Canis lupus familiaris: one gene and its partners. The protein of the gene in region 4 binds, or shares a complex with, the protein of the main gene of each other region. Links are inferred from orthologs where the notes say so. Each region holds a gene or a part of one and is shown on either strand. Other genes may lie near its edges. The genes, in order: GIPC1, GIPC2, TOM1, MYO6 and CLTA.

The links.
Region 1: the proteins of MYO6 (region 4) and GIPC1 are in contact, whole or in part, in a crystal structure (PDB 5V6E), measured with the Mus musculus proteins. The link is inferred for Canis lupus familiaris from reciprocal best matches to the Homo sapiens genes MYO6 and GIPC1. Residues at the interface, in NP_001034635.2 of Mus musculus: Ser1055, Lys1056, Trp1057, Lys1058, Tyr1059, Ala1060, Arg1084, Arg1085, Leu1086, Val1088, Tyr1089, Trp1092, Lys1093, Asn1096; in NP_061241.1 of Mus musculus: Glu273, Ser274, Tyr275, Met276, Gly277, Ile278, Arg279, Asp280, Glu282, Leu283, Thr286, Asp310, Phe311, Ala312, Pro314, Glu316.
Region 2: the proteins of MYO6 (region 4) and GIPC2 are in contact, whole or in part, in a crystal structure (PDB 5V6H), measured with the Mus musculus proteins. The link is inferred for Canis lupus familiaris from reciprocal best matches to the Homo sapiens genes MYO6 and GIPC2. Residues at the interface, in NP_001034635.2 of Mus musculus: Ser1055, Lys1056, Trp1057, Lys1058, Tyr1059, Arg1084, Arg1085, Leu1086, Val1088, Tyr1089, Trp1092, Lys1093, Asn1096; in NP_058563.1 of Mus musculus: Glu255, Leu256, Tyr257, Met258, Gly259, Ile260, Asp262, Asp264, Leu265, Thr268, Thr289, Leu290, Asp292, Phe293, Ala294, Pro296.
Region 3: the proteins of MYO6 (region 4) and TOM1 are in contact, whole or in part, in a crystal structure (PDB 6J56), measured with the Homo sapiens proteins. The link is inferred for Canis lupus familiaris from reciprocal best matches to the Homo sapiens genes MYO6 and TOM1. Residues at the interface, in NP_001355794.1 of Homo sapiens: Ile1182, Phe1184, Trp1202, Gln1214, Glu1216, His1218, Asp1220, Lys1221, Pro1222, Ile1224, Leu1226, Glu1234, Met1235, Cys1236, Leu1238, Glu1242, Thr1243, Gly1244, Leu1245, Arg1247; in NP_005479.1 of Homo sapiens: Ser440, Glu441, Phe443, Phe446, Leu447, Arg450, Ala451, Ala453, Ala454, Asp455, Leu457, Pro458, Asn459, Leu460, Ser461.
Region 5: the proteins of MYO6 (region 4) and CLTA are in contact, whole or in part, in an NMR structure (PDB 6E5N), measured with the Homo sapiens proteins. The link is inferred for Canis lupus familiaris from reciprocal best matches to the Homo sapiens genes MYO6 and CLTA. Residues at the interface, in NP_001355794.1 of Homo sapiens: Met1053, Thr1054, Pro1055, Met1058, Ala1059, Met1062, Ser1087, Trp1089, Lys1090, Tyr1091, Glu1113, Arg1117, Leu1118, Val1120, Tyr1121, Trp1124, Asn1128; in NP_009027.1 of Homo sapiens: Glu47, Asn48, Glu50, Ala51, Phe52, Ile54, Leu55, Asp56, Gly57, Gly58, Ala59, Pro60, Gly61.

The regions. Positions count from the first base shown.
Region 1 is NC_049241.1:48,541,728-48,547,791, forward strand, and holds the start of GIPC1 (PDZ domain-containing protein GIPC1), read left to right. Parts: upstream 1-2,404; 5' UTR 2,405-2,498; intron 2,499-3,002; 5' UTR 3,003-3,057; intron 3,058-4,700; exon of another isoform or gene 4,701-4,749; 5' UTR 4,750-4,843; intron 4,844-6,064. UniProt on the Homo sapiens protein: May be involved in G protein-linked signaling.
Region 2 is NC_049227.1:69,374,941-69,381,018, reverse strand, and holds the start of GIPC2 (PDZ domain-containing protein GIPC2), read left to right. Parts: upstream 1-2,356; coding exon 2,357-2,629; intron 2,630-6,078.
Region 3 is NC_049231.1:29,799,811-29,805,333, reverse strand, and holds part of TOM1 (target of Myb protein 1), read left to right. Parts: intron 1-298; coding exon 299-383; intron 384-1,724; exon of another isoform or gene 1,725-2,004; intron 2,005-3,411; coding exon 3,412-3,490; intron 3,491-4,372; coding exon 4,373-4,522; intron 4,523-4,802; coding exon 4,803-4,937; intron 4,938-5,030; coding exon 5,031-5,177; intron 5,178-5,523.
Region 4 is NC_049233.1:37,583,566-37,589,867, reverse strand, and holds the start of MYO6 (unconventional myosin-VI), read right to left. Parts: upstream 3,862-6,302; 5' UTR 3,684-3,861; exon of another isoform or gene 3,644-3,683; intron 1-3,643. UniProt on the Homo sapiens protein: Myosins are actin-based motor molecules with ATPase activity. Unconventional myosins serve in intracellular movements. Myosin 6 is a reverse-direction motor protein that moves towards the minus-end of actin filaments.
Region 5 is NC_049232.1:52,990,734-52,996,732, forward strand, and holds the start of CLTA (clathrin light chain A), read left to right. Parts: upstream 1-1,779; 5' UTR 1,780-1,919; coding exon 1,920-2,136; intron 2,137-5,999. UniProt on the Homo sapiens protein: Clathrin is the major protein of the polyhedral coat of coated pits and vesicles.

The DNA of each region.
Region 1 (6,064 bases), on a different chromosome or scaffold from region 4:
TGTTCCCAAGCAGTTCATTCATTTACTCACTTATTAACACATTGATTGTTCGTTTCATCACATAGATCTATTTGAAGAGTCCAGGCATTTTTGCTTTTTGGTTTTGGGGTTTTTTTTGTTGTTGTTGTTGTTTGTTTGTACATTGGCAGAGTCCCTTCATTTGGAAGTATCTGGTTGTGTCCTCATGATTAGATCCAGGTTAAGCACTCTGGACAGGACCAAGTACTCTACAGGTGATGTGTCCTCAGCACATCACAGGAAGGGGCATACGAGGTTAACTTTGTCCCATCACTGGTGATGTTACTTTTGGTCACTTGGTTAAAGTGGTGACTGCCCGGTTTCTCCCTGGTGCTTTTTCCACGGTATCTTTCCCCCACTGTAATTAACAAGTAATTTGCAGGCTGGTCCTTTGAGATTGTGTGAATATCTACTTCCTCCACTGAGGATCCTCGCCTGCATTAATTATTTCTCTACTGGCTGCAAAATGGGGATTTTCCAACTCAGTCTTTCCTTCTGCGTGTATTAGCTGGCATTCCAGATGTTTTTTTCCAAAGGGGACAGAGGTAGTAACACTGAAGTCTGAGCTCCCCAGCTTCTGGGCCTACTAGCCCTTTGAACTATAAAATTGGATAAAGAGTGGCTTGCTCTGTACCCTTGGGCAACACCCTCACCCCTCCTTAGGCACTTCCTCATCAGTCAACAGGTGGATTCAGGTGGATTCTGCTCAGGACTCTGCTGTCCCCATGGCCCCACATATTGTCCTCTTCGGGTTTGTAGAGGGCAGCTCAGATGCCAGGCACAAGCAGGGCAGTGGGTACAGTCCCACAGAGGCCCAGCCATAGCAACTGATCACTCAGTGGGGATGGCAGAGGTCAGCAGAACAGGAAGAGAAGGACAATAGCGGTGCCTGTTGCATCAACAGTGGCAGCGTTTGCCAGCTGGGTGGGGCCAGACTCGCAGCCCTCAGCAGCTAAGCCGGCCCCGCTCTCCTCTTTCAGTTTGCCTCTCTGTAGGCCCCGGTGGGGCTGGGATGCACAACAGCTCACCCTGGGGACTGCAGAGACCCAGTCATTCAATGAAGCCTGAGCAGAATTGCAGCTGTTAGAGGCCTCCAAGAACTACAATTCCCAGAACACACAGCAAGCTCCTGGTCCAGCCCCAACTGCCCCAGAGGCTGGCTTTGAAGTAGAGCAAGGATAGCTCATCTGTCCTGGGAACTGAGCATCCTGGTCTGTACAAGGTGCATCTGTGTCTTTGTTTCTTGGACCTACCCTTGCCTGAGACATCCCAGTCTCGGGGCCTCACCAAACCTGGTGATGGCGAGGTCACCTGGTCCTCTCATTCACACAAGTGCTCTGAGAGGCTGCTCACTGCCAGTCTCAGGACCCCAGCAGGGGTGAGGGGGCACTTAGATGGAGGAGACAGCCTCATGAAAGGGCAGAGGCTCGGAATGGTTGGGGACCCTTTACAACCTAGCACATATTATGTGTTCAGTAAATATTCACTGATTTAACCAACAAGCGAGCAGTCCATCTCGATCTTGTCTTCCTTCCATGCACCCTTTCACACAGTTTTGCTAGCTCCTAGGATATTGCACTCTCCCAAAATGTGTTGTATCTCTCAGTCCAGCTTTCAGGCCTTCTGCACGAGCTGTTACCTCCACCAGAAGCACATTCAGCTTATTCGCTTTAGTAGCTGCAGACGTAGGACAGAGCCTGGCACGGAGCAGGGGCACATGAAATATTTGACGAGTGAGGGAATGAATGAATGAATGAATAAATGCCCTTGTCCATTGTACACCCCAGGAAGCAGGGACACTCGGGACCCTCCCTATTCATCTCGCTCCTCCGCCCGCTCGCCCGCCCGGAATGAATGCATCCTTTTTATCCGCTCACAGGATGGCCAGGCTGGGGCAGGCGCAGACAGGGAGGAGGACTGGGATCGGGGGCTGCCCTCGGCCCCTTCCTAGGTCTCCTAAAGGGTCAGCTCTTCCGGACGTGGCGAGTTAGCCTCTGCCCGAAACTCGGCCCGCGTCACCTGACTCCCACGACCGGCCCTCCCGCTCCTTACCACCCTGGACACCCCAGACGGACACTCCGCCGGCAGCACGTGGGCCAGGGACCCCAGCTCCCCATTGGTTGCTCGCCTCCTTCCTTCCCCGCGATTGGCAGGGGCCCAGCCTCAGGTCCCCCCTCCGCGCCCTGCGGTGGTACAGCCTGCCGCGGCTTTCGGCAGGGTGGGCAGGTCCACTGCGCCGCGGCGCGGGGGGGCCGGGAGGAGCCGGGCGAGGCGGAGGGATCCCTCTGGAATGCTTCCGTCGGGCCCACCCGGCGCTGGGCGGCGCGGCGCGGATTGGCCACGGGCGTCGGGCGGCCGCTCCTGATTGGCGCGCTGCGGGCGCTGGCCCCGCCCCCCGGCCGCGGCTGCGGGAGAGGCCCGGGCCGGAGTTTGCGGAGGGCCGAGCCCGGAGCGCGCGGGTGGCGGCGGCGGCGGCGCAGGTGAGTGTCCCTGCGGGCGGGGCACGGCCGCTCCGGGGACCCCAGCGCGGGCCCGCGGGGTCGCGGACCCATGGGGATCCGGCGGATCGAGCGAGTAGCGGGGGGACGGCCCCGGGGTCGCTGCTGGAGGTCTAGGTTGGGCCCCAGGATGCCTGAGGCCCCTTCCCCCGGAGGCGCCCATCTTCCCGCCGGGGGCCGGGGTCAAACACCTCCCGCCTCTGAGATGGGGTCGGCAGCCCACCCTGCCCCCTGCACTGCCCTGGACAGCCCCGTCCCGGCGGGCTCGGCATTTCTGAGTCCTGCCCGGGCACCTCCCTCGTCCCACCTTGGCCTCGACGCGGCCCTCCAGGGCCGAGAGAGGGACCTGGAGAGGACTGAGGTCCCGGTAATAATCATGAAAAAATCACCCCCGGCTAGCACTGACTGGACGCTTCCGTGTCAGGTATTTACCATGCACATCGTTGCGTCCAAACACCTCATGGAAGGTGCTGTTACTTCTTTTAGAGGTGAAGCAACAGACCCGGAGAAGTGGAGTGACTTGCCCAAGGTGACACAGCTAGTAAGTGGCAGGGCTGGAACTCGAACCCGTGCTTCGGAGTCCAGAACTGGAGTCTCAGCCGCTAGACTAGATGGCTCCATGGATCAGTGGCCCAGTGGCTCCGTGGCTCAGGTGTTCCCGACCAGCTCCTCTGCCCGCTGCTGCCTGCATCCCCCAACCATGCATGTATCTGGGCCACACCTGCTGGTCTTTGCTTCCCCCCAAGAGGTCCCCGGACACCAACCCTGTCTTGCCTCCCCGGACCTGGGAAGGCTTGCCTGAATACCTAGGTCCTAAGAAGAGAGTGACATCTGCAGGGGACATAGGAGGCCTGGATGCTGGGGTCCTTTGCCCACTGGGCCCCTCTGGAAAGCCTGCGCTGAGGCCCAGGCAGTAGGCGTTCTCCCCGGAAACACCCGGGAGCCGGTTTTTCAAGACTGAATCAGAGGCCTCCCGCCTCCCTGCCTCCCGCCTCCCGCCCTCCCCTCCAAAGCAGTATCCTACTAGAAAGGGGAGGTTGGGTGTGGTGTCTCTCCCCCCACCCAAGCTTTTGTCAACTCCCAGGAACTCCCCTCCCCACTTCCTGCTGCCCTCACTGTGATTCTGCTTGGTGGTGGGGTTGCTAAGTTTCAGGCCCCTCCCAGGGAAGCGAGGGTGGGGATGCTAGGATTCCAGCCAATGCGCTTGGACCCCCGGCTGACACTTTTTCCACCATCCCTATGTTCAGGTTTGAGGGGACACTGGGAATGTGGGGAGGAAGTGTCAGTTAGCAACCCCACAGCAGGCATGTTCTGAGGATAGGAGGGCTCAGAGAGGAGTCTGAATGAGGACACGAGGCACGCACACCCGTCCATTCTGCAAACATTTACTGAGCACCTCCCATGGGCCAAGCACTGTCCTTGGCACAGAGGGCATAATAGCAAACAAGACAAAAATCCCTGCTCTGTGGGAGCCGCCGTCCTAGTGGGGAAAAGGGCAGCAAGCAAGTTAACAAGTAGATAAAGACAGTACCCGCGGATGGTAGTAAGTGCGTGTGCTATGAATAAAATATGAGGGGGGTGGCCGGGTGGAATCTGTGGTAAAGGGGGTGGCTTTTGGAGGAGGCGACTTTGGAGACAAGATCTAAATGACAGAAAGAAGGTGGCCCAGCAAAGGTCAGGCAGGGGGCCCAGCCTGGGCAAAAACTCTGAGGCTGGATGGAGCTTGGGATAGTGTGTGGGGGCACGAGCTGCCGCCAGAGTGGCAGTTCTGCAGGGGCCTGTGGCTCATATTAAGGAGTTTGGGGCTTTTCCTCTGTAAAGGTAGGAGACCGCTGTAAGATTGGAAGCCGGGGAGTGACGTGATCTGGTTTACATTTTAAAATAGAGACACGAAGTGAAATAGCAGCCTGGGACTGAAAGACAAGAGTTCTGCCGGGATAATGTGTAATTAAGTTCATGGGCCTTGAGCTGTCTGGACCACAGGGGCAGTTCCAGCAGGCTGGGGCAAGCCAGGGAGGCTGCCTGGAGGAGGCCACCTAGACTAGGCCTCCGCGGACAGCAGACAGCAGAAGCACAGACTGGGATGTTCCTGGGCGGTGGGGGGGGGGGGGGTGGGGTGGGCAGGGGAGGAGGCCATAATAATAATGACAATACTAGTAACAGTTTTCTTAAATTGAATGTCAGGCAAAATGCTAATCGGGTTGTCTGCACAATCTCTTTGGATTCCCATAAGCACCTGGAGAGAGACAGGAATTCCACCCATTTTTCGACTGAGAAAACTGAGGCTCCATCACATGAAGTGACACTTGCCCACGACCACGCAGCTGGTAAGTGGCAAGGATGGGATTTGAACCCAGGCCACCCTCCTTGGAGCTCAGAGAAGTTAAGATACTTGCCCAAGGTCACACAGCTAATAAGTGGAGAAACCAGGTTCCAGACTCATGTTCTCAGCATCCCGCTAAGATGTATGAGGGGCAGCAGGAGGAGAACAGGGGAGGTGATGATGAGGGGTTTGGTTTGGTTTGGTTTGAAGCATCACTGAGTGTGTTGTAATAATCTGAGGGGGCAGTATGGGTTTATTCATTCAGAATTTGTTTTTTATCAGATATTAGGTGAATGCTTAGTGTGATGTGTGCTATGGTTAGATGAAGTAATCAATAAAAGACTAGTATCCCAAATATGTAAACAATTCCCAAAAATCAATAAGAAAAAGATAAAGGCAGGGCAGCCCAGTGGCTCAGCAGTTTAGCGCCACCTTCAGCCCAGGGCTTGATCCTGGAGACGCAGGATCGAGTCCCACATTGGGCTCCCCGCATGGAGCCTGCTTCTCCTTCTGCCTGTGTCTCTGCCTTTCTCTGTCTCTGTGTCTCCCATGAATAAATAAATAAAATCTTAAAAAAAAAAAGAAAAGAAAAAGATATAGGCATTACAATAAAAAACAAACTGTGCAATTTTTAAAAATGGGCAAAGACTTAGACAATTCACAAAACGACAAATCCAAGCAGTTAATAAATGTCTTAAAAGTTGTTAAGCATTACTCAGTGGTTGAGCGTCTGCCTTTGGCTCAGGGCATAATCCTGGGGTCAAGGGATCAAGTTCTGCATCAGGCTCCCCGCAGGGAGTCTGCTTCTTCCTCTGCCTATGTCTCTGCCTCTCTCTGTGTATGTCTCTCATGAATAAATACAATCTTTAAAAAAAAAAGCTGTTAAGCCTGGAGTGCCTGGGTGGCTCAGTTGGTTAAGCGTCTGACTCTTGATTTCAGCTCGGGTCATGATCTCAGGGTTGTGAGATCAAGCCCCACATCAGGCTCCACACCGGTTGTAGAGCCTGCTTAAGGTTCTCCTCCACCACCACCCCAACCTTTCCCTGCCCCCATGGAAAAAGAAAAAAGTTGTTCAGCATCCTTGATTATGAAGGGAGTGAAAACAAAACCATGATGAAAGGTGAGGGAGAAATCAGTGTGGCTAGAAGGAGCACCTACCCTGTCCCCAGCACTATGCTGGGAAGCAAGGGATGAGGACCACAGGGGGGCGCTTGCTCTTTTGCTG
Region 2 (6,078 bases), on a different chromosome or scaffold from region 4:
CAGTCCCTTTGTCATACCATCACCAAATATTCTTAATTTGAGTGTACCATCTGTTTTCTCCTGGGACTCTGGCTAATATAGCTGGTTCCTTAAGTGAGATTCTACATGAAGGTGAAGTTAATGTAGGCCTCTTTCTAGGCAAAGATGGATTTAGAAATTAAAGGGAACTCAAAGGCTGTAGAACCCAACCTTCCTATCCAACACTTTTGCTCTGCTTGATATTTTATTTGAAATGGCTTAAAAGCATTCTGTGAAGCTTTTCTTAATATCACACCCTCTTGTTTTCCCACACAGTGCTTGGATATGGAGAATGGACTGGCCATATATCCCATGGTGACTCACTTCTCTTCCTACTTTTCTTTAATCAAACTTCCGTGAGCTCTCTATTCATACAACATATTACGAAGTTATTTGGTTTTCACTTGATGGGAATGCATCCTTACACACTAGGTTTTCTCCACTCTTTTCCCAGCATAAAAGAAAGTAATATTATTTGTTGCTATAGCAATCATAAACACAGAGGCAAATTCAGGTCCTGAGATCATGTAGCAATATTCCATTTTCAGGGAGTATGAAATAGACTACGTTTATATTAATTTCTAAAGCCCACATGAACTGGAATATGTTTATACTAAATTTTCAGCCATAGAACAAAACATAAAACAAAAATATTAAAATTAACCTAAAGAATTAATAGATCCCCTCTCTCCTTCAGGACATCTGCTAACCTTAATTTGAGAAACATGGATTTTCAGAACTGAACTGATGTGAGAATGGGGGAAAAGGAAAAAAAGTTTGGTGTGATGAGTCAAGGATGTCTGGTTTGTGTTACTGAGTACATTATCCTATTTTCTGAAATCAAGAGTTAAAAAAAAAGATGCTTTGAGTTAAAGGATGAGTTTGTAAAATCCCACTTTGAGGCTCCTGCTTCCCTTTGTGGTAGACTGAGCTGCAGATATAAATTTGGAGGTCAACAATATCTATGAAACCAAGAGAACAGATGTGGTCATTCAGGGAAAGCACGTAGAGTAAAAAAAGATGGCCAAGAAAAATAACAGCCTTAGAGCAAACAGTTCCTGGAAAGTAGCAGTTAGCAAGGAGCGTGAGAGGTAAGTCAAAACAGAGGCATGTTTTAAGAATAAGATGGTCAATGTGCAGTCAGATACTCTAAAAGGTCAAGTAAGATAAAGATTGAAAAGAGTTAATCATATCTGATGTTTAAGAAGTGATCAGAGTACAAGCAATTTCAGTGGCGTGTGGGGGCAAAGTCTGATCACCGGCAGTCTTAAGAGCTAAGGGGAAAGTGAGGAAAAGCAACCTAGCAGTCGAGATTATTTTTGCTTTGTTGTGAGGATGTAGCTAGCTCCAGGCTACTGCAAAGGTAGGCCTTGGAAACCGTGGAAAGGACTTGGGCTTCCGACCACCAGTGAGTGGCACAGGATGGAGAGCAGGACAGGACTTAGCAAGTAGCTTAGAAATAGAGATCCTAAGAGTTGTTCAATCACCATGTTGTACCTGACACATAACACTATACGTTAATTATACTGGAATTGGAAAAAAAAAAAAAGTTCGCAGAAGGGCGCAGAGATCAAGTGCAAGGGTCAAAAATATAAGGAAGAGATTTCTTAGGAGTTTGGAGACCAGAGGGGAGTGGAGTTACTCGGAGGGGCGGGGAATTGGGGGGAACTGACACCTGGCACAGAAGGGCTTCAATCTGCTCCGTAGGTTAAGGGGCAGGAGAGTCCCCGGCAGGGGCCCAGGTGGGCGCGGGTGGCGCGCAGGACTTGGGGAGAGCACTGAGCCTCCGGGGGCCAACAGTGCCCAGGGACGAAGTAAGCAGGGTCCCCGAGGCTTAGAGCGTTTGGCTGTGGCCTGAGCGCGCACCAGCCCCTTCCCCTTCCCCTTCCCCTTCCAACGGGGCCCTGCGCGCCGCGGGGAGGCCGAGCCCCGGGCCTCCCCTTGGATCCCGTCCCCAGGGCCCGGCCCCGGGGCGCCTTCCTCGGCGCGTGAAAAGCACCGGAGGGGCCGGGGTGCTTGGATTCGAAGACGTGTGGTTCGGCAGCTTCAGCATCTCAGGGCTCCGACGGAAATCGGGCCATTAAAAAAAAAAAAAAGTGGGGAGGGGAGCCCGGGAGCTGGAGGCTGGAACGGGCCCAGCCTCCCGCCCCGCCGCGCTCCCGGAGGCAGGTGGCCGCGGCGCTGCAGGTGCCGCTCCCGGGGGGGGGGGGGGGGGGGGCACCTCTCCATTGGCCGAGCGGCGGCTGTCACCTGCCCGAGCCCCGGCCCAGCGCAAAGTCCGCGGCGGCAGCGGCAGAGGCGGCGGCGGGCGCGCAGGTGGCCCCCTCGGCCCGGCGAGATGCCCCTGGGGCTGCGGCGGAGGCTGCGGGGCAATAAGCCCAAGGAGGCCGCCCGGCTCGTGAAGGTCGAGCCGGTGGGCGCGGGCGGCGGCGGCGGCCCCTCGGCCCCCCCCGCCCCCCCGGCGCCCCCGGCGCCCCCGGCCGCCCAGCGCAGGCTGGTCTTCCACACGCAGCTGGCCCACGGCAGCCCCACGGGCCGCGTGGAGGACTTCGCCAACATCCAGGAGCTCTACGCCAAGATCGCCGCCGTGTTCGACATCGCCGCCGCCGAGGTGAGCGCCAGGTGCGCCGCCCCAGCCCCGCGCGCCCCTCCCGCCCCTCCCCTCCCTCCCTGCTCTCCCCTCCGTGCCCGCGCCCCTTCCCCTTCTCTCCCCTCCCCTCCTCTCCCTCCCCTCCCCTCCTCTCCCCTCCCGCGCCCCCTCCCCTCACCCCCTCCCCTCCCTCCCCTCCTCTCTCTCCCCTCCTCTCCCTCCCCTCCCCTCCTCTCTCTCCCCTCCTCTCCCTTCCCCTCCCGGGGCCCCCTCCTCTCCCCTCCTCCCTTCCTCTCCCCTCCCCTCCTCCTCCCCCCCTCCCCTCCCTCCTCTCCTTCCCCTCCCCTTCTCTCCCCTCTCGCTCGTCTCCTCTCCCTCCCCTCCTCTCTCCTCCCCTCCCGGCACCCCCCCCCCGCGCCCCCTCCCCTCCCTCCCCTCCTCTCTCTCCCCTGCCTCCCCTCCCCTCCCTCCCCTACTCTCCCCCTCCCCCTCTCCTTTCCTCTCCCCTCCCCTCCTCTCTCCCTCCTCTCCTCTTCCTTCCCTCCTCTCCCCCTCCCTCCCCTCCCCCTCCTCTCTCTCCCCTGCCTCCCCTACTCTCCCCCTCCCCCTCTCCTTTCCTCTCCCCTCCCTCCCCTACTTTCCCCCTCCCCCTCTCCTTTCCTCTCCCCTCCCTCCCCTACTTTCCCCCTCCCCCTCTCCTTTCCTCTCCCCTCCCCTCCTCTCTCCCTCCCTCCCCTCCCCCCTCCTCTCCCTCCCCTGCCTCCCCTCCTCTCCCCTCCCCTCCCCTCCGGCTCGCGCCCCTCCGTTCCCGTGCCCCCTCCCCCCATGCGCACCCCTCCGTTCCCCTTCGCTTGGACGCGCGCCCCTTCGTGCCCGCGCCCCCTCCCCTCCCCTTCCTCCCCTTCCCTCCTCTCCCCTCCCGGCCCCCTCTTCCCGGCGCCCCCTCCCCTCCCCCCTCCTCTCTCTCCCCTGCCTCCCCTCCCCTCCCTCCCCTCCTCTCCCTCGTCTCCCCTCCCCTCCTTTCCCCTCCCTCCTCTCCCCTCCTCTCCCCTCCGTGCCCGCTCCCCCCCTCCCCCCCTCCTCCCCTCCCCTCCGGCGCGCCCCCCTCCTCTCCCACGGGCGGCGCTACCACGGGCCGAGGCGCAGGGGTGCTGGCGCGCGGAGCCCGCCCACGGCGCCCGGGGGGAGCGGGAGGCCTCGGGGGAGCGGAAGGCTGAGCCCGGGACCGGGAGCCGCGTTCCCTGGGCCTGTCCTCCGGGGAGCCGGGGGCGGCCTTTCTTCCTCCTGCACACGCGTGTGCCTTCCGGGCCGGAGCGCCTCCCGGGAGTGGGGACCCGGCGGGGCTCGTAGCAGCCGCCACTTCTCCTGGACTTTACTCTCCCTCCTCAGCGGGGGGGTGGGGGGTGGGGGGTGGGGGGCGAGCATCTCCGGGATTTAGGCCGGGATCGCGGAGTCCGAGTCCGTAGCCCCGCAGGTGGCTTGTCCGCGCCGAGCTCCAGCATCCCTTTGGTTGAGTTCCCGGGAAGTTGTCTACACCGCGGGGGCAGGACTAAGACTGGAGAGAGGTAGAGCTAGCACCGTGGGATTCGCTGACAAAACTTTCAGGGGGAAAATCGGCTCTGAGTTTTACCCCCTTTCCTGTCAAAAGGGGCTGAACTTCTCATTAGATTGGCTGCCTGCGTGCCTGCGCGGTGCGGTCTGGAAAGCGCTAGTTTTATGGCTGTTTATGGGGCTGCTCCATCTACGCTTTCCCCCGCGACCTGCCAGCCTAAGAGAAGTTGGCCCGAGGAAATATTTTGTCCACCTTTCAAGGAAAAGCAGGAGATGCTGCCCTGGACTGCGGGGAGGGCACAGAGCTGCCTTTGGGTTTCTGATCTTTAATGTTGTTTTTCAGGCCTGTTCAAGTAAAATTGAGGTCACGGCAAAATTCCAAGGGGAGATGAACGAGAGCCTGAAGCGTAACCTTTTGTTCTTTCAGGGTTCCCAGGCACTGAGGAGCAAAGCACAACCGCATTTTGTGAATTATTTATATTGACCTAGAGAAGTAACAATAATTCGCGTTCATATGGACGTTTAGATTCAAAAAGCACTTTCACAGGAATAACGTCCTTCCCTCTAGGAGAGGCAGGTGGCGTGTAGTTCATTGGGGACCTAAGGAAAGCATTTGGAGACGCTTAAGCCTGGATGGGAGTCCAGGTTCTACCCACTGGCTGTGGGGTCTTGAACAAGTTTAACTTCCCTCATTTTCAGACAAATATAAAACGGACAAGAAAGGGGGTGCCTGGCTGGCTCAGTTGGTAGAGCCTGTGACTCTTGATTTCAGGGTGGCGAGTTCGAGACCCATATTGGATGTGGGCATTCCATGAAAATACAAATCTTCAAGAAACAAACAAAACAAAACAAAACAAAAACGAACCCAGACGAGAACATCTACCTTGAAGGGTTGTGAAGACTGGAGTTCATATATAAACTTATCAGATTGCATGGTACATGGTCCTGCCTCACAAATTGTAACTTGTATTACTAATATCTAACAGTTAAGTGAGGAGCTGAGGCACAAAGGGATTGGGCCTTGGCCAAGGTCACATAACTAGCAAGAAAAAATCTGGGATGTTATTTAAACTTGGATCTTCTGGTTTCTAAGCTAAGGGAGTTTGTTAGCATACTTAACTGACAACTTGAAATGTTTCTCCTGTAACCAACGGCTCCAGATTTAGATGCTTTGCATTAATAGCTTTCCTCATTCTGAAGCCATGGCGTGTGGGACTTTATTCAATCCACTTAATTCCTGAAAAAATATTATTGATATCACTGCTTCAGAGAGGAAATGGGCTTTGAGGTTCACAAACTTTTCAAAATTACATAGTGAGTAGCAGAGCCTGGTTTAAACCCAGGTGTATTTGTTTATTTATTTATGTATTTTTTTGCTTTCCCTGACTCCAAATTCCATGAACTTCTATTTTGTATTGCTTCCCAAGTTTTCCAGGGTGTCTGTGATACCTTTGGCAGCCATTGTCAGTGTTTTCAGTTTCCAACACACTGAATTAGGAGATAGAAATTCCAAGATAACATAATCCTGCTGTATCAAGGTTCATGTATTTTTTATAACTCCAAACATATATATCTGTTTACTTATGCATATACCCAACATTAATGTGAGTTTTCTCTTTGGATTAAGAATAGTTGGGACTCCTGGGTGGCTCAGTGGTTGAGCGGCTGCCTTTAGCTCAGGTGGTGATCCCCGGGGTCCTGGGATCGAGTCTCGAATCGGGCTCCCCGCAGGGAGCCTGCTTCTCTCTCTGCCTGTGTCTCTGCATCTGTGTCTCTCATGAATAAATAAATAAAATCTTTAAAAAAATAGTTAAGTATATCCAGGATAAAGTATTGGTCATCATAGTAGAGTATGTCCTGAGTATCTCAGTAGTTAATTTTGAAACAAGTAACTTATTAAAATGCACTGTGGTGAGATC
Region 3 (5,523 bases), on a different chromosome or scaffold from region 4:
GTAAATATACAGAGATAGAGTACAGCACCCCCCCCCCCAAAAAAAAAAAAAGCATTAAATGACAAAACGGGACAACGCAGGTAGCCATTCGCACACGGCCTGGCCCTCCTTGGGTGCCCAGAAAGCATCTGTCATTCTCCTCCTCCTCCTCCTCCTCCCTGGCTCTTCCTGCCCTGGCTCTTCCCACCCTGGCCCCGCACCACACACCTGCACGCAGCTATCTGACTTTGTCCATCTGGCACCCCGCCGCCCCCCCCCCAACACACACACACTGTGACTTGTGCTCTCTCCTCTGCAGAGAAGGCAACAGATGGCTCCCTGCAGAGCGAGGACTGGGCCCTCAACATGGAGATATGTGACATCATCAACGAGACGGAGGAAGGGTGAGGCCTGCAGGAGAGACTGGAGTGGGGATGGGTGGGCCCAGGGATGGCCGGCAGCAGCCCAACCTGCCCTCCCCTCTGGAGGACTCCTGTCCCATCCCTGCTGTGGCACACAGGTAGACCCTGCTGGTGGCCCTTGGTACCAGGAGGGCTGCAGACATCGTCCAGGTCCCACCCTAGGCAGAAGTGTGGTGTTTTAGGCATTTGGGAACCAAAATCCCACCCAACACTGTCATTAGACGGACCAGAGAGAGACACGCCCCTGGCAGTTGTCAGGCCACGCGTGTTTCTCAGTGGTGGCCTGGTCAACTAGACCCCTTAGAACATCCCTGGGCCACATCCTCCAGGACAAGGCCAGCTGGCAGCCCCTGACATTGGGACATGGCCCCAAGCACCGTTCTGCATTCTGTGGCCTGGAATGGGCAGGGGGGGACTCCCAGCTTTCTCTATGAGCAATAGACTTTCATTTCCTTAAGATTGGGGTCAGGGGACACAGAGAAGACAATGACAGTAAAGCAGAAATGAGAACCCATCGGCGTTAGCCTCGCCTCAACATTTCCAGTATGCAGGTCACACCGGGGCGCATGCTGTGGTGGAGGCATCGTGGCCGTGGGTTCTTGGTCTCTGACTAGCTGTCACTGACCAGCCGTGTGACCTTGGGCAAGTCACTGTACCTCCCTAGGTCTTTATCCTCAGAGGTAAAGCTCTTTTAGATTCTTCCAGCAATAAGCCCAAGGTCCTGAATGGGGCAGAGAGGCCAAGCAGGGTCAGTGTCCTTCTCAGGAGAACCCAGAAAGGATGGGATATGGTGTGACCACTATAGCCATCAGGAAGGACGGCCTGACAAGGCCTTTGTTCTGGAAAATCAGAACAGCCGGAGCAGGACCTCTTCCATTCTCACTGGGATAATCCAGTTGGCCTGTGAGGTCCCTCTTAGCCAGGTAGTGCTTTGTGGGGAGAGGGGCCGGCTGGAAGCAGGCAGTGAGCAAGGAGCACCCAGCTCAGCACACAGTGGCTGCAGGCAGCTTCTGCATCCCCAGTGGTGCTCGGGGCTCTTGCCAAGCAGCTGGTAGAGGACACCTGCGCCACCCTGGCCTCCTGTGCATCAACTGGAGAGCGGTGAGCAGACGACAACAGCACTGAGATACGAGGACCAGACGAGGACTACCGAGATAAAAGGTGGAGGGCAGGGATGCTCACAGCCTCTGGGAAGGCCTGGGGGCTTCATGGATGTCCTTGGAGAAGCAAGCCCCCGCTTCCTCGTAAACATTGGTGGAACTGGGGCTCATGCGAGTGTGGGTTCAGTTGCTGCCGTTGATGTGAGCACTACCTGTGTTGCAGGCGCTGCATGAGGCACTAGGGACCAGCAGTGAGCAAAGCAGATGGGACCCTTGGCCTCACCAAGCTTGTCATCTAAACTCAAGTCTCTGGTCTACCCCGCACAGTGTTGTGGCCTCCTTGTCATCCACTCTGTGCTCCTGACCTGTTACTAGACACAAGAGGCCCCACAGCCATTGCACCTCAGCCAGGACTTCTGATTCCCAGTCTCTATGGGCCCCTCTATGAGAAGCGGAGACAGGTCCCTTTAGAGAGCTGAGGCTGCAGGCGAGGAGTTCTGAGGGTGAGGAGGGGCCCCAGTGCCCTGTCCTGGGAGAGGGGCCCAGCCCGCCAGAGAAAAATGAACATACAGCATGTCCTCTCCGTCACAGCCTTGATTAGGCCTCCATGGATCCTTCCCTCCTTCCCTGCCGCCTTCACCCATGTTGGGGGGCCCGTGTCAGGGTTTCTGCCTTTCCTGACTTGACCTTGACAGGGTCAGCACTGAACAGATGGCTGGCAGACATCCGGCCACAGGAGACATAGGAATCGTTGCTCATGCTCCTGGAGCGGGCTGGGCTCTGTCAAGGCAAAGTGTCAAAGGAGATGCCATCCCTGCCCTCTGGGAGGCACCTCTTTAGCCAGGCAGCACCTGGGTAGGAGCCACAATGCAGTGCGCACCAGGGAAATGGGGGACTGGGACAGCCTTGGGTGAGGCAGGTTTTAGCTGTGCCTTCACCAGGTAGGCATGGAAGTTGGGGGCCCCAAAGCTTTTTAGGCCAGAGCAGTTGGGGCCACATGGACTTCACCCAAACAGTGTGGAAGGACAGGACGCAGGGGTGAGGCAGTTCTGGTGGGGTGGGCGATAGGGTGGGGGTTCAGGCTGCCGCCAAGGCCTTCAGGGCTCCCTCCTGTACTTGGGTGTCTCCATCCTGCCTACCATGACCACTGGGCCTCTCCAGCCTCTCCCTCTGCCTCCCCACTCGGCCTCCCTTCAGTCCCTCCCACCCCTGCCTGAACCACTTCCCTTGCCGCCCACAGCTGTCTCCATCACTTCCTCACACCCAGCTGGGATGCCACCTCCTCTGAGAGGACTCCCCTGAGCCCCCTCCCCAACAGCCACTCTGACTGCAGGCCTCTCTCCCTCCCCACATGGATGTGGGTCTCCCCGGGACACGTGGTCCTTGAAAGCAGAGCCGCGTGTTCCCCAGAGTGTCCCCAGCACCCAGCATGGTGCCAGCACGTGTGGCTACTTAGACGAGTAGAAGGATGTGGCAGGGAGGCCAGGGAAGGGGCACTAGGACTCTATGCCTGCAGGTGACTGGTTCTCAAACCTCAGTGTACAGGGAGCCCCCGGGGGCATGGTGAGCACACAGCCTCCCCGAGGGCTTGGCTCAGGGTCTAGGCTGGGAGCCTGGGGCTTACGTATTTGACAAACCATCATGCCTCCCCCGCCAGGGGATTCTGGTGCAGGGGGTCCAGGGTCCATACACGGAGAATCCTTGCCAGGTATTTTGTGACCTACTGAGGACTTCTGGGGGCCAGGCAGTTTGTGTAGTGATTCAAACCTACGTGTTCAACAGGACACAGGACAAATAAATGCCATGGCCTGTGTTCCATGCCTCCTCACCTTAGTTAGGCAGGCAGCCCCATGTGTTGGATAAGAAGGTTCCATTCCTCAGCCCATCTTTCCCTTTGTCCTCCTGCCCAGTCCCAAAGATGCCTTCCGAGCAGTGAAGAAGAGAATCGTAGGAAACAAGAATTTCCATGAGGTGATGCTGGCTCTCACGGTGAGTGCCCTGTCCATCCGTGTGTCCATGGTAGAACCACACCTCCCCCCAGGCCCAGCAGGACTCCAGCCGCCCTGGGGCTCCTCTTGCAAGGGCTGGGAAGGAAAGGTCTGCGGGCGAAGCGCTGTCCTGTGTGTGCTAGGCAGATGCAGAGTGGCATGAGAAGCCACTTGGAAAAGTTCTCTCCAACCTGCTGGCCTGGGGAACAGACTGAGGGGCCCACATCTCTCCAGAACGGGTCACGGAGAGCTTGTGCCACAGAACCTGCCAGGTGACATAGAAGCTCAGTAAACCCAGACGTTGGCAGGGCAGAAAGCCTGGCAGGCCACACTGGGTGCTGACTGGCCCTTGAATGCCCTGAAAAATGAACATAAAGCAAATCCCAGTGGCTGAGGACAAGCCAGGCAAGAGGGGACATCCTGGCTGTCTCAGGAGTTTGGCTGGGATGGAGATGAGAGCACTGTGTCCCAGCCTCCCCTACAGCAGCACTCGCATCCAGGGAGTCTGGCTACGCTGAAAAGGCACTCGTGCCCAGCAGTAGGAACAAGAAGCAGGGAGGGAAGTTCAGTGCCTTTTTCTGGGGCTGCAGGGTCACCAACTGATTATGAAAGTTCACTTTGGTTTCCACTTGGAGAGCTACCCGCCCCCTGAAGTAGTCACTTCAGAAGCAGCATCAGGATAGGCACCCCTCAGTGGGGGCCGCTAACCAGCACACCAGCCCCCGAAACACGGCACGGTCCCCGCTTCTCTGGGTTCCAGAGTCTCCCTCTAGGGAAACGGTCCCCCTCTCAGCCCCTCTGGGATGGAGACCGAATGCGAGGATGGGGTCCTGGGCGCTCCCCCTCCCCTCATGAGTGCTCATGGGTGCCTCCCGGCCTCCAGGTCTTAGAAACCTGCGTCAAGAACTGCGGGCATCGCTTCCACTTGCTGGTGGCCAGCCAGGACTTTGTGGAGGGCGTGCTGGTGAGGACCATCCTGCCCAAGAACAACCCCCCCACCATCGTGCACGACAAGGTGCTCAACCTCATCCAGGTGAGTGCAGGCGGGCAGGCCGGGAGGGCGTTGGAGGCTGCCCCGCCATTGTTGCTCTTTTCCCCTTTGCTTCTGTCTGTTTCTCCTGCGGGGCCGTGTGGGGCCGTCTTGTTTATGCATTCACTGAAGGGTCTGAGTGTGGGGTGGCCTTGCTTGGCAGGGCCGTAACTCAGACACCAACAATCAGGGAGGGACTTTTTGCTCTCTGGGGATGGGCAGGCGGCTTACCAGGGAGACGGTGAACAGTGGTTACCGGCCGTGTCCCCTTCTCCCCTCTCAGTCCTGGGCTGACGCGTTCCGCAGCTCACCTGACTTGACAGGTGTGGTGGCCGTGTACGAGGACCTGCGGAGGAAGGGCCTGGAATTCCCGATGACCGACTTGGACATGCTGTCACCCATCCACACGCCCCAGAGGGTGAGGAGACGCCACCTGGGGAGCAGTGTGAGGGAAGGTGGGGGATCACCACCCACCCCACTGGCCTCGCTGATCCCACCTTCCACCATCTAGACCGTGTTCAGCTCTGAGGTACCATCAGGGCAGAATTCCGTGGGCACTGACGCCAGCCATGGAGGAGACTCCACCCAGCACACCACCTCCCTGCCCATCCCGGCCACGCTCCCCAGTGACACACCCATCACACCCACCGCTGAGCAGGTAAAGAAACCTGAGTCAGAGCCACGCGTGGGTCAGGGAGGGCCCCTCTCGGTATGTCATCGTAGCAGCCCCATAGGGTATGTATCATTCATCCTGTTTCAAAAATGAGGCTTAGACAAACTCCTTTGCCCGGAGCCACACACAGGTCCTCAGAGATGGTGGTGGGATTCAAGCTCAAGGGTGCCTGACTCCCAGCAGGCTCTGTCTTGCACCCCAGCCAGCGGTTCTCCAAACTGTGTACTGTGTACCGTGTACCCCGAGGAGCCCTTGAGGCAGCACCCAAGAGGGGATGGGGTGGGGAGTGCCCAACAGGCAGCCTCTTCAACCACATCACCTGCATTTTCTT
Region 4 (6,302 bases):
GTTCTCGATTATCTACACTTACATACACACACACACACGCGCGCGCGATGTGTTACAGATCATCCATTAATAATTTTTATTAAGCTCTTGAATGATAGTTTTGTACTCACAGTTGAATATAAGTACCCTGAGAGATGCAAAATTCCTAATAGTTTAAACCAAATAATGAAACATCTGTAAACACAGTCACCCAACTCAGCCTTCTTACCATTTTTTTTTTAAGATTTTATTTATTTATTCATGAGAATACACAGAGAGGAGAGAGAGAAGCAGAGACACAGGCAGAGGGAGAAGCAGGCTCCATGCAGGGAGCCCGACTTGGGACTGGATCCGGGTCTCCAGGATCATGCCCTGAGCTGTAGGCGGTGCTAAACCGCTGAGCCACGGGGGCTGCCTCTTCTTACCATTTTTCTTCTCATTTACCCAACCACATTCTACTGCTGAAATGACTCCTACACTTTGTTACAAAAGATGGACTTTGTGTGCTCACTTTCATCCTTTATGTCTTTATAGCTCAAAGGACATTCCTGAAATAAATGAAGGCCATAAAAAAAACTGTTCTAATAGTACAGGTGACAATTTAATCATACTTTGAAAACAAGCCCCCCTGCGCAAGGGTTACGAACTTAATTATGTAATATTTAAAAGACAGTACTGCATTTATGGACAACGATCTCATTTGAGAAAAATAGAAAGTTCTATCTGAAACAGGAACATTGTACTATTCATTTTATCTACAAAGAAAACCAGTGTTATATTACAGTCTAATTCTAATTCCAATAAACCCACCAAAATAAAGTACACGATTTGTATAATATTCTGGTATTTACATCAGAAATGATAAAGCAACACCGTATTACTGTTCAGAGTTGTCAACTTAATGAAAAAAAAACAAAAACAAAATTCAACATTAGTTTCAGAACCACATTCATGACCCATATCATCCTCACTCCTGTGTGCCTTCTTTAACACAATACCAGTTCTGCAGGTTTATTTAAACAGTCTACCAAATGAACTAAGATCAAGGCAACCTGGTCTGGTGGAAAAGACAAGGGTTTCGTGGTCAGAAGACTTAGGTGTGAATCCAGACTTTGTTCCTCTGGAGCTGTAAGACCTTGAGCAAATATTTAATTCTCTAAGCTTAAATTTCCTCATGTGTAAAAGGACAAGACCACCAACCTTGAAAATTATTTTGTAGATTAAATCTCTCAGTGTTCTGATTATACCAGATTCCTATATGGTATAGGAATTATACCAATTCCATCCAGTGGGTGGGTGATGATCTTATACTACCAAAGGGCCAGTTCAGGGGCACCCGGATGGCTCAGTTGGGTAAGTGTCTGCCTTTGGCTCAGGTCATGATCCCAAGTTTCTGGGATAGAGCCCCCGCATCTGGGAATCTGCTTCTCCGTCTCTCTCTGCCCCTTGTGTGCTTGCTCTCTCATTTTCTCTCAAATAAATAAATAAAAATCTTTTTTTAATTAATTCATTAATTTTAAAAAATGAGGGCCAGTTCAGAATTATTATGAAGTACATCATTAAAGGGATCACAAACTGTATGAGAGTTAGCAAAGCAGTAATACCATTTTTAGTCTTTTACTGAAAATGTTTTCATATACAAACATGAAAATTTCACAGAGGTCAGAAATCTTTTTAAAACTGACATTTTTAAATATCAAAATGAAGCTTCAATTATCAACAGTGAAAACTGGTTAATTTTCTAAAAAATGTTTTGGGTGCTTAGATTTATCCAAACCTCACAAAGCAAAAAAATTTAAAACTTTCTTAAAAGAGCTGTACTTTAGAACCCAGAGACAGCCCAGTTATCTAAACAATGGGCTACATGATACACCACAGTCTCCAGGCAAAGTCACAACAGGATGAGAAAAGAGCCTTCAGCCTCTCTCAGATTTCCTGGCCACTGTTATTTTAAAACTTGATCACATAAACATAAACAGAGGGAAAAAATCCACTTCAGATAAGCGCCATGGGTTATGACTTATGATCTGTTCTTAATACATCATATTAATTTACATTAAATATTACAATAATGCATTACACTTTTCTTGTTCATGCTTCTGGACTAATGAAGAATACGTGTATTACAGTTTTACATAATATGTATTTAGAGTTTTTAATCCTGTAATCTCTTTCTAAAGTTCTTTTACTTCTTTTTAAAATTACCTTTTGAAAACGAAAAGGTAACTCAAACTGGGAGAACAATGTCACATAGAACACACAAACGCAATAGGCAAATCTGCCTAAGACTAAAATGACTTGTTTACCACTGTGTGTATAATTCCTGCGCAATTTAAAATACTCAACATGAGCTGTATATTTAAAAGTCAATGAGTTACTTTGAATGGCTGCATTGTTTCAAGCTCTGGCTATAGCCCAATGTGTAATGTTTCTAAAATTAATGATAAAAAATACCAAGGTAATTTTTTCACGAAGCAATTTCCAAATATAAAACCACAACCCAAGGTATCTATGAAGTTTAGTTAATTTGTACAGATATGCTGTTTTCCTGCCAACCTTTGCACCATGACCATTCCAGCCCAAGTTCAAGATTCACATTTCATGGTGTGAAGAGTTTCAACTAAACCTTAAGAATTTTTAAAACTTTCACACCCTGACGATACTCAGATACTTTGCATCTACACCACCAGAGCATAACAGCAAATGAAACTTTTATTTAGCACGTACAGCAATCTGTGAAGTTGCGGCAGTGCTCCTAGCTGCTCACTAGTATCTGTAGATTAGGATGCATACATTCCTCCACTACAACTTTATGCCCCATAAAACGTAACCTGTCTCCTTAAACACTACAGAAATAGTATTTCCGACACGGATGTGCCAGTAATAACCCTACCAAATTACTTCCTACTTAAAATCCCGGGGTTGGGGATCCCTGGGTGGCTCAGCGGTTTAGCGCCTGCCTTCGGCCCGGATCGAGTCCCGGGATCGAGTCCCGCATCGGGCTCCCGGCGTGGAGCCTGCTTCTCCCTCTGCCTCTCTCTCTCTCTCTCTGTCTCTCTCTCTCATGAATAAATAAGTAAAATCTTAAAAAAAAACATCCCGGGGTTGGAGCATCTGAATGGTTTTAAGGAGTTTTTGGAAATTAACAAATATAAAAAGCTCTTGTTCGGTAGCACAAATGTCCATTAACATACTCAAAGTACTGGACCACCTAAGGACTAAAATTATCCCGTTCAGACGGTCCCACCCGGTCTTCTACATGACTAGACTATCAATTCGACAGTGGCCGGCACCTGATACGAAGGTATCTCCGAGCAGGCGGCACTGTTCCTGCGCTGGATTTCAAGCTTGTTTACTCAAGAGAAAGAACTACCACGGGGCGTCCACGTCCGGGTGGGGCACCGGAGTGCTCTGCTACCCGGGGGCAGGGAAGGGACCCACAGGTAGCCTGCTGACGACAGACCCGTGAAAACCAGAACCAGCCCCGCACCGCCGTGAGCCGCCGGCCGGGCCCAGCCGGCACCTGCCTCACCGCGCGCATCCCGGGCGGAGACCCGGCCGTCAGCCCCGGCGGCGGAGGCCCGAAGCAGCGCGGCCCGGGGACGCGAGGCCCGGACGCCGACGCCGACGCCGACGCCCCGAGGAGCGGCCCCGCGCCACTCACCGGGGTGGCCGCGAGCGCAGGTGCGCGGAGGCGAGGCTACCTGTGGCCGGCGAGGTGGAGGGCGGGGTGAAAGGTAACCAAGTCGAGCGCGAAGGGCGACTGCGTGGACAGGCTCGGAGACGCGGCGGCGGCGGCGGCGGCGACCGCGGTCCTGCGAGCTTCCTGCTCGGACAGATCCCGGGGCCGTCTCCGCCCGCCGGCCGGCGCCCCGCCGAGTCCCCGGCCCCGGCGCGCGCACGTCACGGCTACGGAGCGCCCAAGGGGGCGGGGGCGCCGCGGGCCGGGGCGGGGCGGGCCGGGGCGGGGCGGGCCGGGGCGGCCGGGCACGGGGGGCGCAGGCGCGCGCTCCCCGAGGGGGCGCTGGGCGCCCGCAGCCCCCCGCCCCGCCCCGCCCCGCCCCGCCCCGCCGCGCCGCTCGCCCCCGCCCCCGCCCCCGCCCCGCGGCGCGCAGCCTCCCGGGCGGAGGTGGGCGCGCTGGAGCGCGGGAAGGGGCCGCGGCGGGCCCGGCCGGCAGCCTCGTTCCTCCCCCTGCGGCACGGCCTTCCTCGCCGCGGTTGTCTCCAGCCCGGGTGCGGAGACCGTGGAGTCCGGCAACAGCAAGAACCAGTTCACGGAGGGAGAAAGGTGTTCAGACGCGGCCAGGACCACGCGCTTTACTCGAGGGCGTTGTTGCGGAGGGAAGAACCGCTGCTAACTAGGCTCCGGTCCGGGTCGGCTTGGGCTGCGCTGGGCTGGGCTGGGCTGAGCTACGCTGGGCTGAGCTACGCTGGGCTGGGGTGGGCTGCACTGGGATGCGCTGGGGTGTGCTGGGCGCTGGGCTGCGCTGGGCTGTGCTGGGCTGAGCTGGGCTGCGAGGCGCTGGGCTGTACTGGGATGCGCTGGTGTGTGCTGGGCGCTGGGCTGTGCTGGGCTGTGCTGGGCACTGAGCTGCGCTGGGCTGCGCTGGGCTGGGCTACGCTGGGCTGGGGTGGGCTGAGCTGGGCTGCGCTGGTGTGGGCTGAGCTGGGCTGCGCTGAGCTGGGAGGCGCTGGGCTGGGCTATGCTGGGCTGCGCTCCGCTGAGCTGGGCTGCTCTGGGCTGCGCTGGGCTGGGCTACGCTGGGCTGCGCTGGTGTGGGCTGAGCTGGGCTGCGCTGAGCTGGGAGGCGCTGGGCTGGGCTATGCTGGGCTGCGCTCCGCTGAGCTGGGCTGCTCTGGGCTGCGCTGGGCTGGGCTACGCTGGGCTGCGCTGGGGTGGGCTGAGCTGGGCTGGGAGGCGCTGGCCTACGCTGGGCTGAGCTGGGCTGCGCTGAGCTGGGCTGCGCCGCGACAGGAGCAGTCTTGCTCTCTGCTTTGGGTGGCAGAGGGTCTGAGATGGAAATTTTGTATTCCTCCGGCCCCCGAATCCCCATTTACTGACTAGAACCCGATCTTCTCTTTTACTGTTTTTATAAGTGACATACCTGTAAATCCTCTTTGAAAATTAAATATGAAGTGGCTATGCAAAATTGAATTATATGATGAAAACATACGTCGCCTTTACAACGAAATGAAATGGTAATGATTAATTGTAATACTAAATGTCTCCGTTGAAAAAAGTTAAGAGGACCTACACAAGATAATTACATTTTTTTTTTCCTCAACATTTCTGAGTGGCAAGTAGGAAACTTCAGGAAATCTACAAGATTCTGATAAGAGACAAATTTCAGATACTCAGTTCTTCCACAGTTCTTTTGGTGGAAAAGATAAGTTACGGTGAGATATTACGGTGAGATAGAAACTACTAATAATGAAGTAGGGAAGTAAGAAAGAGGAAGAGGAACCAAGAAAGGAAATAATTTACAGCAATCTCAGAAATTTAATTTCTGATTGCCAGGAGGTAGGTCTTAAATGTATAAAACTACATTTCAAACAAATTGGAAAAAAGAAAAACAAGAATAAGAAGAGAGTAATATCTGTTTACAGCTTTGAGTTCCTTTTGGACTTAAGATTTAAAAGCTACGTGAGTAATAACTTGTGATTTTTTTTTCTCTTGTTCTCCTTTACTCCCACTTCCATTACTGAGTCCCTTTGCTTCAAGTTCCGTATCTCTTGAATGTATCCAGTTCTTCTTTAGAACCACTACCATTATCTTATTTCAAGCCACCATTATTTCAGATCTTGCATACTACTTTAGCCAGCTAAACTTTTCACCAGGCTGCAATCCTGTCCCCTTATAATCTTCTCTACAATGCCACCAGGTTTATATTTTACAAAAGTCTATGTAATCCTGTTTTTAAACTCCTATAGTGACACTCCACCTTTAGTATAAAATCCAAATTAGTTAAGATGTGTTATGTGAGCCTTCCATTGTTTTTGTTTAAGAAGCACAGTGGGGATTTCTCTTGTTTTTTTTCTTAATTGAATTTTAATACCTTTTCATTGTTCCTCAGTTCATCACTGTCTTAAACCCCCAAAAGCTGTCCTAAACCAGGCTTATTCAGTTACCTGCTTGCCTTTGGAATCATTTGCATTTTGGATCACTGTCTTAGCCCTTCTTTCCTATCCAGTCTCATTTCCACCAACAGCCTGTCTCCATTTCTTGTACTTTACACAAGCCATTTTGAAGTACTGGTGTCTCCAGAAAAAAACAATTATGCTCTTTATGACATTGGAGTGTTGCCAAGCTAAATCCAATGAAT
Region 5 (5,999 bases), on a different chromosome or scaffold from region 4:
CAGAACAGGGTTCTAGGTTATTGCCTGCTTAAAGTATTTCAAAGGTTCCTCATAACCGGTGAAATTCAGTACTAATCCTCACCTGGGCACTCAAGCCCTCCCTGACTTGACTCCACACTTGTTTTCAGCTGTGTCCATCTATTTTCAGGAGTGAGTGCGGTCTGTCCCTCAGCCACGGTTGTGAGCATCCAGACTTGTCTTCTTTGGACCCTCTCATGGTCATCCTTTCCCATTATCTTCTGCCCAGGGCAGGAGTGATTAACTTAAAGCAGCCTTTCTTTCCAAAAAGATGAATGTGAAACTACTTCATAGGTTATCGATAATATGTTTATGTTAGGGATGAGCATTAAACAAGAAGTGGGAGGAGAAAATTGAATTGCAGGGCCCAAAATTTTAGGTGTCCAATGTTTTTCTTCACAATTTTCCTACATTCCATACTTAAAATGACTAAAAATACATGCTTTAAACAATTACCTCTTTTTGCCACTGAAGACGTGTATTTTTAAAAACCACTTTCCTGTCCCTTGCTATCTCTGGAGACATCTTTGACCTCTGGTTGGCTGGTTTTTGTTTTTTCCTTTTTAGGGAGTGGTGGTGGTGAAGGAGAGAGGTCCTCCTGTTGGCCATTGCTTATCTCAACAAGAACACGGTTAACTGTGATCACCCAGTATCACTTCTATGCTGTAGATGAAACCCCCTGACGTAAGATAAGATACTGAAGGAATTTTAGAGAAAGCTCTCACTCTTCTTAGGCTGACAAGATACGTCCATCCAGGAGGCTGTACCATTACCAAGGTGCCCAGAAGACCTGGGTTTCCTCTTGATGGCTTCCTGTGTGATTTTAATCCCTTCCCAATAGAGGGGTCTGTTTCCCTAGGAAATTCCTAGGTGGTCCCTAAGGAGTGTTTCAGTTCTAGAAACTTCCGTCTAGGGATCCCTGGGTGGCGCAGCGGTTTGGCGCCTGCCTTTGGCCCGAGGCGTGATCCTGGAGACCCGGGATCGAATCCCACGTCGGGCTCCCGGTGCATGGAGCCTGCTTCTCCCTCTGCCTGTGTCTCTGCCTCTCTCTCTCTCTCTCTCTCTCTCTCTCTCTCTCTGTGTGACTATCATGAATAAATAAATCTTTAAAAAAAAAAAAAAAAAAGAAACTTCCGTCTAGCCCTGATAAGATGTACTGGCTGCAAAAGGGCTTTGGAAAGGAGAGATAGTCACCTTTTTAGAATACCGTGGGGTAGAAAAATCAGAGTGGATTTGAATCCACCACGTTTAAGTCAGGCGGCTCCACACGGGAAAACAATCCAGGTGAGGCGAACGAATTAACAAATACAAAGTTTTTAATAAAGCCAGTACACAGCCATGAGAGGATTCATTCTTCCCAAGAAGCCTGGGAGGGATGCAGTGCAGGATTCACGAACGAGGAAACCGGGGTTCAGAAAGCCTAAGGAGCCTGCCTCCTCGGTAGTCGACCGACGATCGTTGCCGCCCTCATTTCACCTCACCTCTGGCTTGGGCCCTGGGGTCTCCTCAGAAGCGGCAGTCCAGGGTCAGGGAGCACCAAAGGCCCAGCGGGGAAGGCCGCTGAAGTCAAGCCACTTCCGCCTCCCTGGGGCCTCGCTGGGCTCGCCACCCTCACAGCCGGCGCAGCCCGAGTCACGAGTTTTCCTCGGGGACCCGCCCCTCCGCCTGCTGATTGGGCAGTTCGGCAACGATTTCTGTGCTCTGATTGGTTGTGACCGCCCCGGCTCTCCCACACCGCCTACACCAACCGGATATACGGGCAGGGTTTCCGCTTCCGCCTTCTCCCTCCCGCTTGTCGTCGGATCGCGGTCGCCGCCACAGCTGCCGCTGCGGGGCGCGGTGTTGGTGGGTCGGTTGGCTTGTCTCTCAACGCCGGTGTCCGTGCCGTTGAACTGCCCGCCATGGCTGAACTAGATCCGTTCGGCGCTCCCGCCAGCGCTCCTGGCGGCCCCGCGCTGGGGAACGGGGTGGCCGGTGCCGGCGAAGAAGACCCGGCCGCGGCCTTCTTGGCGCAGCAGGAGAGCGAGATTGCGGGCATCGAGAACGACGAGGCCTTCGCCATCCTGGACGGCGGTGCCCCCGGACCCCAGCCGCACGGCGAGCCGCCGGGGGTTCCGGGTGAGAGTGCGGCCGCGTTTGGGGCGGGACGATTTGTATAGAATGGGCCCTGAGTGGGTCTGAGCGCTCTCTGTAACTCTTGGTTCTTGCTGAACCGGGAGATTAAGGAAGGTGCAAAGAGGAAACGAGACCCCGGCCCAGTCATAGCAGAAACCTAGGTTCGGGGAGCCTGCTCAGTGGTAGGAGTATGTTTGAGTGCCCCCGGACGGGGCAGAGCGAGAAAGCTAAGAAAAATTGGGTGACAGTCCGGCTGAAGAGCTCGAAGAAGCCCATTCAGTTCAGGAACTTTTCAATGAGCACTTGCTGTGCTTTGAGCCTGGGGCTTTGAAACAGCCGCATTGGCGCAGTTTTTGGCCAGACTTAAAGGCGAGCCTGAGCCCGGCACGGAACTAGTTATTAGGAAAGGAGGGCAGAAAGAATGATTATAGTAGTATCGTTTTTTGAGATATGTACAAACAAAAATAGCAGCGCAAATCAGCATTTAAGCACTTCAGGTATGCAGAATGTTGGATTATGGGGAGGGAAGGAGGCGTGAATAGTGAACTCGAAAGGTGATCTAATCCTGGACGAAAAAACTCCAGCCAAAGAAGGGTGAGAGTTTTAACCTTTTGTCGATCGGATTATGGCCGGTATTTCTGGAGCTCTACTTCCTCTGAGAACAGCTTTGGTAGGGCAGTGTTGCCTAAGCAGAATTTAAGATTAGCCTAGACTGGTCTTCCAAAAGGTGAATAGAGAATGTGGTGTGGCCTTTTCCCAGCCAAACTCAAGCAAAGTGACAAAAAAAATAGCAATAGGATGCGGGTTTGACCTTTGAATGCCTTACCTTTGTGTGATACTTGGAATTACGGTGGGAAGAAAAGAGGAGTGGAAGAGACCTTTTCAGTTGTATGAGGAAGTAGGAAATTAGCTGGAAGAAATGAGACCTGGGTTTTCATTTACTTAAACTATTCAAATTAAAGGAGAATAGGGTGCTGGTGGGGCTGATAGGAGTGTTTATATTACTCTAACCTCAAACCTTAAGGAGCCAGGCAGATGACATAAATGAGAGAAGCCTGCTGGGAATGGGACACTATGGAGTGCTGGAGACTGAGGTTTTGGTGCACTAAAGTTGTGCTTTGTGAAAGCAGACTCAAATTTCAAATTACTGTGCCAGTCAGGTGGAACCATTTTTGTGTGTAGGGGTAAGGAGACTGTTCATTTGAAACCTCAGAGTTTTTATACTGCACCATGTTACCTCCTAAGCGAATCAGCCCCCGCATAAGAACTTACACGAGAACATATGATACACCTGTAAATGTGAATTACAGCAGGCAGGTTGGAGTGACCTGAGTTGTGGCTGGGAGATGAAGTTAGGTTTAGTAGGGTTTTTGTTGTTGGGTGGTGTTTATTAACATTTGCCTGAGAATCCTAAAAATTAACTTCTTAGATCCTTAGTTTACTGCTCCTCATTTAATAAAAGAAAACTTGAGCCCTGCAGAGAAATGACTTGCTTAAGAAAAAAGGGCAAATTACTAGCTATGCCCTCAGTTTCCCTACCCGTAGACCGTACCATATTCTGGTGCAGTTGTTTCAGCAGGGGTAACATGGTACAACAGACTGTCATTTCTGAAAGGCAGTGTGGCTGTCTTGGGTAGGACGGAGTTGGGAGAATCTGGACCTGTACCTAGAAAACTGTCCCGATTCAAGGACAATGTTACTCTTGCTTACAGTTGTATCCCGGGCACATAGTAGATAACTCACAAAGTCATGAACAAAAATACCAGGGCCAAGAGTCCTGTAGAGACAAATCTTGATGACGGCAGTTTGGAGAGGTAAAAGGGAGAGGGTAGATATGGACACACAGGTTTCTTGTGCATTAAGCTTTCAGCAAAGGGAAGGAAAGGATGATTGCTGACTTAGTTTCTAGGAAGGACTTTCTTAGTGGACTAAGCATTTAGTGATTTGAAGCCAGACCTCTGACAGTGTTGTTGAGGTCGGCAGTAGTGCAATGGTCAGCACTTCCTTCGGGGAGTAGAGAACTAGTTGGACACTTTTCTTTCCTTTGAAAGAGGCATGCTAGTGGTTTAGATTCTGTGCTACCTAAACTGCTTGAGTGTGATTTTTAACTTTGTGGTCTCAGGCAACTTAGGTAACCACCACTGCATTACCTTAGATTTTTCGCCTGTAAAATGTACAGATCTATACCACACAAGGTTGCTAGGATTACATTAGTACCTGAAAAATGCATACACGCAGTACTGGGTATATCACTGCCCCAGTACCTGACTATACTCATTCCTCAGGAGTAGGGGGAGGGAGGCATTATAAAGCCTATAGGCTTTGGGGTGTGCTGAGGAAACCGATTTTAGGAGGGAGCCCTGTATCTGATGTGTTACTATACCAGAGCTACATCGGCAGGAGGCTCTTAACAGATGGAGGATAAAGAGGAACATAGCTAAACTCTTCCCGGCTCTGGGGAAACTCCCAGGAAGGATGATAGCAGGCAGAAACCAGAAGGCCTGAGCCTTGAAGGACTCCTTCAGTTGTTAGAAAACCTGGAGAAGAGGTAGTTTAGAAGTGGGGGGTGACCAGCAGAGTGAAGTGGATCAAATATTGAAGAGCAAGTGGTGAGGAAAGAAGAAGCAGCATGAGTCTAGAGCTGTTGAAAAGCCCTCAATTTTCCTGAGGAGGGAGGAGGAAAAAAGGTGACTAAGGAGCTGCTGTGAGTGTGGCAGTGAGGCACCATTTGTTTCTGACAAGTCTCTCCTTGGAGGAGGAGGAAGAAAGGCAAATAAATTAAAGCTTTCTGGAAGAGGAGATGAATTTTCTTGGTAGCAGTGGTCGAGGGAAGTTCAGGGAAATTGCACATGTGATAGTTTGTAGTACTGCACGCTTAATGAATGCTGGTTCTCTGTAGCTTCAGATCCGTGCAGTAACTGCAGGCTAGGTAGTGGCATCCTATTTCAGATAAGGAATCATCAGGGAACTTAAGCAGTGTTCCAAAGGTAGCAAACTAATACGTCTCCACTGTAATTCAACCCACATGTGCTTGACTTCAGTGGATGGGCACCATGGGAAGTCGTGGGTAGGTTTGGGACAAATTGTCTGTCTTCTCTGGAAACTTATACTGGCCCTTTTTTCTCCCTGGAGTTCCTGAGATGCCCTACAAAGTTTCCTTTGGGGGCATCTGGTTTCTTAGCTTAGCTGTCCTAATAAATCAGGGCCTTTGATATCTTTCTGCATGTTTTTGTAGCAACAGGCAGTTCTTTGACTTAGGCCAGTTGAATGTCACTACAGTAACTAAGAAGAGCTCAAAGCACTTGCTGGGGGTTTGGATGAGTTTTCAATTCTAAAGGACAGGCAACATGCGATTTAGGAGGAAGTATGGGATGAGAATTCTAGTTTTGTGTATGGAGTAGTGATCAAAGTCTTCCCTATTGGAATGGCCCTGGGCTGGAATATATTAACTGGATAGTTGGTGTGTGAAATGTAATATATTAACCAGAATTTAGGCCAAGGACTGGCCACACTAGCCATTGTAAGCTCCAGGAGTCAAAATTATCTCACTCTTTCTGACATAAAAATACCAAGCGGATTAAAGAGAGACATTTTTGTCTTTTTAGTGCCAAAAGAAAAGTGACTAAGAGCAGGAAAGTCTTTGGGCATAAAAGCAGATACAGAAATCCTAAAGGAAAAAATTATGCCCATATACAATTTTTTAAAAAAGATTTTATTTATTTATTCATGAGAGACACAGAGAGAGGCAGAGACACAGGCAGAGGGAGAAGCAGGCTCCATGCAGGGAGCCTGATGTGGGACTCCATCCTGGGACTCCAGGATCACTCCCTGGGCCAAAGGCAGGCACCAAACCACTGAGCCTCCCA